Linked DNA regions of Callithrix jacchus. The protein of the gene in region 2 purifies or fractionates together with the protein of the main gene of each other region. This does not show direct contact. Links are inferred from orthologs where the notes say so. Each region holds a gene or a part of one and is shown on either strand. Other genes may lie near its edges.

Region 1 (4,585 bases), on a different chromosome or scaffold from region 2:
CAGTCCTGGACTCTCCCCTCAGGGAGCTCACAGTCTGGTGAGAAGACACACCCATCACCAGAGTGTTTTGAGCTGGGATGAGAAGACTCCAGGGGATTGAAGGAGGCCAAAAGGAAGGACCTGACCTAGCCCTGGAACAGGAGACAGCTGATTTGAGAAGTCAGATAGGCAAAGAATGTTTCAGGCAGAAGGAACAAGAGCAAAGGCCCAGAGGTGGACGATCTCACACCACTGCTAAAAACTATCAATGTGGGCCAGGCATAGTGGCTCACACCTGTAATCACAGCATTTTGGGAGGTTGAAGCAGCACAATGGCTTGAGGCCAGGAGTTGTAGACAAGCCTGAGCAACATGGAAAAACCCTGTCTCTACTAAAAATACAAAACTTAGCTGGGTGTGGTGGCGCATGACTATAATCCCAGTTACTGGGGAGACCAAAGCAGGAGAATCGCTTGAACCTAGAAGGTGGAGGTTGTAGTGAGCCGAGATTGTGCCACTGCACTCCAGCCTGGGCAACAGAGCGAGATTCAGTCCAAAAAGAAAGAAAGAAAATAAAGGAAAGAAGAGAAAGAAGAAAAAAGGAAGAAAGGGAGGAAGAAAAGAAAGAAAGAAAAAATTATGTAGATCATTTATTAGGACATTGGCTTTAGACTAAGAGTCAGACCAGTATTCCTCTGGCGGGGTGGGCATATTGCAGAAGGCAGCTGGAAGCCAGGAGGCCAGGGAGTGTGCTACTGCAACAGTCCAGTCTGAAGGTGATGGTGGCTTGAACCAAATGGGCTAGAGGAAGATATGGATATACTTGCAGGAAAAACCAACAGGATTTCTAGGTCAGCTATCCGGTATGAGAAGGATCAGAGAGTCAAGGACTATTCTGTGGCCAGAAGCACAGAGTTAGTCATTTTCCCAAAGGGAACCATTTCTGCCAGACCCTTCGTAGATCCAAGCTTTTTTTTTGGGGGGGGGGAGACAGGCTGGGGATTTCCAGCTGTCTGGAATCCCCTCCCACATAGTAGGAGCTCTCTTTCCCCCTCCTGGATTTCCCTTCCACACTCTTCGTGGAAGTTTTCTCTCTTCTTTTTTCTCTTTTCTCTCCTTGAATAAAATCACCTTTCTGCAACAACAACAAAAGAGACAGGCTGGTCAGGAGTTCGAGACCAGCTGGACCCACGTGGTGAAACCCCGTCTCTACTAAAAAATACAAAAATTAGCCGAGCGTGGTGGTGGGCACCTGTAGTCCCAGCTATTCGGGAGGCTGAGGTGGAGAATCGCTTGAAGCCGGGAGGCGGAGGTTGCAGTGAGCCGAGTTCGCACCACTGCCCTCCAGCCTGGGCCACAGACTAAGACCCTGTCATAAAATTAAAAAAAAAAAAAAAAAGAATTCCGAGTCACGGCACCAAAAAAAAAGAAATTTTTTAAAAAGAAAAGAAGTACCTGACGCAGAAAAGCGTTCAATAAATAATTATTGCATGAATTAAAGTACTTTTGCTGAGACATTTTTCCCCACACCGACCCTCCAGCGCATCCCGGGATCTGCAACGCATTCTCCGAGTGAAGACCCGGAGGTGATAAACACCTGGGCGTCCGAGCCCCAGCCGCGCAAGCTCACGACTGGGCCAGGAGTGATAATAAACAAGCATTCAGCCCAATAGAAAGTCGTAGTTCTCTTGCTGGGCGTGACCTGAATGGCGTCGTTGGCCACCTCCTGGGCGGGAGCTCTAGCCGTCCGGAAGACTCCCCTATACCCCATCTCGCTCAGCTTCCGGCTGGCCTTAGTTCCGGTTCCTGTCCGACTCTGGAGTCTTTGCAGAGGGTCACATTGAGCTGCAAGGTGCATCGGGGGTGCTTTTAGGTGAGTGTGAAGGGTTCTGGAACCTGGAACCCCAGCCTAACGGGCTGAGGATCTGAACCCTAGCTTCCCCGAGAACGGGTTGAGGCTTCTGGCTGGCGGCGTCCAGCCTCCCTGGGCCCCGGGACCCTGTTGTTCTGTTCTTCGTAAGAACTAACAGTGATATAACAGGAGTTCTTCCTTGATGCAAGGCAACATCCCAAACAACTTAAATTATTCATTTAACTCTCCCACCAGAGAGTTCTAAGACAGGCCTGGGATCATCCCCTTTTGACAGTAAACAGGTTTGGAGATACCAAGGGACCTAGCCGAGCCTACACGCGACCAGGATTTGGCCCAGGAGTTTGTCCTCCAGGGTTCATCGCAAATTCAGGGGCGTGGCCTCCCGCGGCTTACCTGGGCTGCAGCCTGACTCCCTGGTGTTCTGTCAATCCTCCCTTTTGGACGTGGGAGGGGCCGCAGCGTCACCTCCGAAGCACCCTCATCCTCAGATACCGGCTCGAGATATCGCCGGTAACCATCCTTCTGATTGCATCTGTGCCCCAGCGGTGGTGTTTTACATACACCCCACCTCCCCATCGAAAGACCGTTTTAGTGCTCCAGACCCCCACCACCACTTTGCATCGCTTGAATTTGACGCTGCTCTGCAGGTTTCTGTATAGCCCCACGACTCCTGGGATTCCCTCGAATATAGACACTTTCAGGTTCCCGACGAACATTATGTGTCACTTCTTCAGAGACATTATATTAAAGATTTTTAACCCTCGGTCTGCAGAGTTGGAAGAATTCCAGGAATGTATTTGAATTGGGGTGACTGTGTGGAATTACCCCAGTATTTGAATTGGGGTGAGGGGGTGGAATTCTATCTGTGTATTAACCTTTTGAGGCAACAACCTCGTTAGTACTAGCAGCAGCTGTGATTTTGTTAGCAATCAAAACCATAGATATTTTTTTCTCCTTTTTTGAGAAGGTCTCTGTGTACCCAGGCTGGCATGCAGTGGAGAAATCTTGGCTCACCGTAACCTCTGCATCCCCGTGCAAACGATCCTACCTCAGTAGCTGGGACCACAGGCATGCGCCACCACACCTGGCTAATTTTACTATTTTTTTGTAGAGATGGGGTTTCACAAGCTGGTCTTGAACTCCTGCGCTCAAGTGATACTCCTACCTCAGCGTCCCAAAGTGTTGGGATTGTAGGTGTGAGCCACAGTGCCCCACCTAAAATCACAGATATTCTTATATCACATTATAAATGCAGATGTCACAAAATACTATATCCACTCATGGTTACTTGAGTGAGGTTGCAGGGGGTCTTGCTCTGTCACCCAGACTGGAGTGCAATGGTGTAATCTCAGCTCACTGCAACCTCCACCTCCTAGGTTCAAGCGATTTTCCTGCCTCAGCCTCCCAAATAGCTGGGATTACAGGCACCCACCACCACACCTGGCTAATTTTTGTATTTTTAGTAGAGACAGGATTTCACCATGTTGGCCGGTCTGGTCTTGAACTCTTGATCTTAGGTGATCCACCTGGTTTGGCCTCCCAAAGTGTTACGATTATAGGCATGAGCCACCGCACCTGGCCAGAATTGTATTTCTTAATGAATCCTCAGCTGGATATAACTGGTTTTCTTTGTGATACTATTCCAGTTTTTTGTTTTTTTTTTTTAACTTCTTCATGTACTCATGGAACCTATGCAATGTTGTAATACATTTAAACATATTCAGGCCAGGTTTGGTGGCTCGCGCCTGTAATCCCAGCACTTTGGGAGGCCAAGGTGGGTGGATCATCTCAGGTCAGAAGTTCGAGACCAGTCTGACCAACATGGTGAAACCTCGTCTCTACTCAAATGCAAAAAAAGTAGCTGGGTGTGGTGGTGGGCACCTGTAATCTCAGCTATTCAGGAGGCTGCGGCAACAGAATTGCTTGAACCTGGGAGGCAAAGGTTGCAGTGAGCCTAGATCGCATCACTGCACTCCAGCCTGGGCAACAGAACAAGGGTCTGTCTCAAAAAAAAAAAAAAACATATTCAGTGAGAGGTTTATGGGATTCGTGAGACCACTGAGGAGTCTGTGGCACCAAAAAGATTAAGAACCTTTGCAGTGTAGATTATGCCAAAAATGGAGGTAGCCCACCATTTATTTTTATGCCAGATAACCTTAGGAAGTCACTTAGACACCCTGTTCCTTCCTCGTCTGGGCAGTGGTGATAGTAATAGTTCCTACGTTCCTACTTTTAGAGCAGCCGTAGGAGTCAGGTGTGTAGAACAGCACCTGGCATGTAGTAAGCATTCAGTGTTAGCTCATGTTATTTGGGAACCAGGCTTGATTTTGCTGAGGAGTCGCACCCTAATGCTGCCACAACTTCCACGCACAGATGTGTGGAGCGCCCTGCCCCTCATCTCTGCATATATGTTGAGAGGCAGGAACTTGTTCACACCCCCACCATTCTTCAGTGCCTCCTCTCTTCCATTGATCCTGGGTAGTCTGACTTGCTCGGGGCCCCTGCCAACACCCACTCCTTTCATCTCCAGGATTCAGCACCATGGCAGAAGAGATGAAGGCCAAACTTAAGAACTACAAGACTGCCCCTTTTGACAGCCGCTTTCCCAACCAGAACCAGACCAGGAACTGCTGGCAGAACTACCTGGGTAAGCAGGACCTTTCCCTGGCCCCACACCTCTAGTCACTCACCTCTTGCCTCTTCCTAGGGGACCCATCCATCCCAGCATCCTCCC
Region 2 (4,420 bases):
CAAGTCAAACATTTTAGAGGCTTTCATCCCTCTCCTCTCAAAAAAATTTTTAACAGGAACTGGATTTAACATAATACAATGTGATTTAATTTTAAAATCTTCTGATATATATAAGAACTGAAATATTTTTTTGGAACCACAGTAACACTTGTAAAAGCAATGCTCTCAGAAAAAGAAAAAAAAGAAAACAGAAAAGAAAGTACAGCTGCTTACCCAGTTTATTGAATCCTGCAGCATTGTAATACCATTTTCGCATAATCTCCAGCAACCTGCTTGATGCTGAAACTGATCATTGTCACACTGTTAGTTGCCAGAATTAAACTATATGAACACTTTGATAGGGAAGCAACCAGTACTCATAGTTATCTTGCTAATACAAACATAGAAATTTCCTTTTAAATGTATATACTCTATATAGGAAGAATTTAATTAAAAAAGAATTTGATTTAAAAGAAAAAAGTTTACACTCTATACACTGCTGATAAAAAAAATGCTTATTTTACTTATGAACAAAAGTGGCTGCAGGAAAAAAAATTAGGTGGCAAGTCATGGAAGAAAAGGTTAAACTCAAACACTGAATGTACAAAAGATCTACAGGTACATCACGTGCCCTCTTATAGCCCCATTACCTTCAAAATTGAAGGGGTGGGAGATAGGAATAGGACTTGGATGTTTCTATTATTTGTAGTTTCATAAATAGATCACCGGAAATAATTGTAAAGCTTTCCATTTCAAAGGAGTTGGAGTTGTATGAAAAGAGACTGAGATTTCAGCAGAGGCTGGCAGGCCTAAATGACCCCCATCCTCTAAAATTTTTACTCAACATTAGTTATTTCACTTGGCCACACTCTCTAAACATTTATGTATTTTGGGGAGAATTTTGATACCATTAGTCATTTAAACATTAATGTGGATTAGTAAAAGAAGTCCATCTTCCTCCTCTTAAGCAGCTAAGTTCTCCCCAAGGGAATGGATACTGAAAACGGATGAGGAGAAATAAATAATTTTAAATCTCTTTGGGGAGCAGGGATGAGCCTGATGAAGTAACCCAGCAGGGTCCAAGGACAGCATGACAGTACCTGACATTTTAGGAGAGACATTTTAGAAAGGGGGAGGTAGCTGGGGAGAAATGCCAAATGTGGGTGAAGGGGAGAAGAAAAGAAAGCACACTGCCATGTGTGTACCTACGCAACTGTCTTGCATGCTCTGCTCATGTACCCCAAAACCTATAATCCAATAAAAAATTTAAAAAAAAAAGAAAAAAAAAAAAAGAAAGGGGGAGGTAGAACAAGTATAATTTTCTTTTAAAATTTTGTCTAGGGCTAGCCCCTTACCAAAAAGGAAAGCAAACTCTCACTCAACTGTCCTTGCCTGCACACTCAGTGCACTACGGATTACATGGCTTCAGTAAATCTCCTTGGAAATTAAGAGTCATGTATAAAACTGCTGCTAGAAAAGTAAGTATGAGTCAACAATCTACAGACATACTTGTGGAAGACAGATTATTATTATTGTTATTATTTTGAGATGGAGTTTCACTCTGTCACCCAGGCTGGAGTGCAGTGGAGTGATCTTGACTCAAGCTCCGCCTCCCAGGTTCAAGCGATTCTCTAGCCTCAGCCTCCTGAGTAGCTGAGACTATCGGTGCCCGCACCACGCCTAACTAATTTTTGTATTTTCAGTAGAGATGGGGTTTCACCAGACTGGCCAGGCTGGTCTCGAACTCCTGACCTCGTGATCCACCTGCCTCGATCTCCCAAAGTGCTGGGATTACAGGTGTGAGCTACCACGCCTGGCTGGAAGACAGATTATTTTTAAACATCTACCAGTGACTATGATAATAATTAATATTCACTAAGCACTTACTGTGTGCCAAGCACTTTCCTATTTGCTTTACCAACATTAGCTGATTTATTTACATGTCTGTTATTACAGAAGGGGAAGGAGGCTTACAGAAGTGATCCCACCAAAGGTCAGAAGAGTTAGCTAATGGGAGTTGAGATCTGGTCTATATGGTTCCCAAACACAGCACAGAAGCAGTGTTTTGAATTTAGTAAGACTCCCACAATAGCTGCCAAATTCATAAAATAATTACTAAAAAGTCTCCCCCCATCCCTAAAAAGCTCAACGCCAATTAGGTTAACGGATTTTTCTGGCAACTTGCTGTTTCCTAACAGCTTCACAGGTGCTGGAGAAGGGGAGGAAAAGATCAGTATTTTTTTAAAAACTGCTCTAATTTGTACCGCCAGTGGGCAGAGATTAGCAAAAACAAAAACAAAAACAAAAAACCCAGGGAAAACCCAACTTAAGGTTCACTTTGTTTTAAGTATTCCAGTAATATCTGCATTCTATTCCACAATAAATGCATTTGAACCTCCAATAAGTAAATTTCTCCAAATCTACTGATTAAGCTGACGTTCCAGATAATCCAAGGTTAACCTGAAGCGTTGCTTGTATCCCCTGCTCAACAGCCTCTAATTCGCAATTTGAGAAGCGCGAGGGGTGCAATGAAGTTTCTAATTCTACTTCCTTGGGTTATGTTGCCTCAGTTATCTCATCAGCGTAGAAAGGAAATTAATATCTCCCTCATCGCACTGGCAGGAGAATTTATTCAGCCAATGCACACGACAGAGCGATTAGGTCACAGAAAGCACTGAGCTCATTCTGGTTCAAAGTCATCGACTAGTTACCCCCTTGTGCCCTTGAACTTTTCTAAGGCCGACGGGAAGGAATGCCGAACACCTGCAGCTGGAACTCCAGGGCTGTCAGAGCCACCGCGGGCACCTCCACAAACAGCGGGTTAATATCCCAACTCTACAGGCAAGCCCGGCCTGGGGACAGCAAACGAATGGGGAGGCAAGTACTTTCGGCTGAACTGAAGCCACCACTTTCCCTTCCGCGACAAACCTGGCCATTTACAAAGAAGAGAGAAAACGGAGCGAACTGCTGCGAAAATAAAAGGTGTAGCGCGACTATGCCCGCCAAGGAAGACCCCCTCCCACCCCCCGCCAATCACTTACCAGCCGGCCGGCCAGCCATTATGACCAGAAAGCGAAGCGTCGCCTTCTGGGTAAGTCAAAGAGGACAGGCTGGGCGCAGTGCGCAGGCGCGTTACGTCGCGTCGCGAATCGATGAAGGCCGCTCGCACAGGCGCAGTTCTGACGGCTGTCGGTGAGCACCTGCGGGCGTACATCTCCGCCAGGGTGAGGCCAATAGAGTGGGCGGGGCATTTGGCGTGCTCTGTTCTAAGAAGCATTGGTTGCGGTATGTTGGGAAGAACACTAGGACAGGAATTAGGAGACCGAGGCTTAAGGCTAGGTTCTGTTACTTAATGTCCATAGCTATGAGAGCGTGGGCGGTATTAATTGAGCTCTTTGTGCCAGGCAGGAAGCAAGGGCATCATCTTATTTAGTTTTCTATTGAAGGACTGATGAATGTGCCATCCAAAATATATGGAATTGGTACATTGATTATTTCGAGTTGAAAATGTTGGAGAAATTGTAGTTTCACTAAGTGTTTGATGACCCATCTCTTCCTGCATGCAGCAAGCCATAAAGCTTCCTCCAGTACTCCTTTGGAGTACTCGTCCCTTACCAGGGGGAGAAAATATCACCCATCACCGGAGACTGGAAACTGGGGGCTGCTTTGGACCTGAATATACTTTCCGAAGTAACCCTTGTCTTCCACTGAGTTGACACCCCACCACACACACGTTTCTCCTAATGACTCCACAAGAAATTTACTGCCCCTAGCCACATCCCCTTTCTTCTCAGATTTGCCATATAAAGTATACTCTTCTAAAAAGTATAAAGGCATCTTGCATTGGCCATTTCACTCTCTTGTGAAGATCTCCGTGTACATGTAAAACTAATTTGGAGGCTTTTCTCTTGTTAATCTACCTTGTGTCAATTTGGTTCCTAGATCCAACCAAAGAGCTCACATAAGAGAAGAGGGGAAAGAGGGTTGGAGGTGATCTCTCACATCCTACACTATCACTTAATTCTGAAAGTACTGTAATTATCTCATTGTAGAGAGGAGAAAGCTGAGGCTCAGAAAGGTTGAGTAACTTGTCCAAGAGCACACAGCTAGAAGAGTCCAGGTTCTCCTTCCAGAGTCTGAGAATCCAGACACAAATTTGGGGGCTACTTAATTCTAGGGCCATATGTTACACTACTAATCCAGGAGAGACACCGAGCTTCTCAGGCCTTGGGTTTCTCCAGCTGAAGATCTACATCTAGCTATATTAGCGGAAGGTTAGGTCAAAGAAGTTTGTTTTTGTCACCTCTTTTTTTGTTGTTATTCAGCCTCTGTCAGTCAGGCTGAATGGCACAATCTCGGCTCACTGCAATCTCTGTCTCCTGAGTTCAAACTATTTGTGCCTCAGCCTCCTGAGCAGCTGGGACTACAGGTGCACATGCCA

Evidence for each region.
Region 1: the proteins of UQCRB (region 2) and COX6B1 purify together in Homo sapiens (affinity purification with mass spectrometry; 3 studies listed by BioGRID and IntAct, counting the BioPlex papers as one, with this or other methods). This does not show direct contact. The link is inferred for Callithrix jacchus from reciprocal best matches to the Homo sapiens genes UQCRB and COX6B1.

The regions. Positions count from the first base shown.
Region 1 is NC_133523.1:31,848,675-31,853,259, forward strand, and holds the start of COX6B1 (cytochrome c oxidase subunit 6B1), read left to right. Parts: upstream 1-1,773; 5' UTR 1,774-1,851; intron 1,852-4,381; 5' UTR 4,382-4,392; coding exon 4,393-4,498; intron 4,499-4,585. UniProt on the Homo sapiens protein: Component of the cytochrome c oxidase, the last enzyme in the mitochondrial electron transport chain which drives oxidative phosphorylation.
Region 2 is NC_133517.1:31,005,394-31,009,813, reverse strand, and holds the start of UQCRB (cytochrome b-c1 complex subunit 7), read right to left. Parts: upstream 3,054-4,420; 5' UTR 3,040-3,053; coding exon 3,021-3,039; intron 286-3,020; coding exon 214-285; intron 1-213. UniProt on the Homo sapiens protein: Component of the ubiquinol-cytochrome c oxidoreductase, a multisubunit transmembrane complex that is part of the mitochondrial electron transport chain which drives oxidative phosphorylation.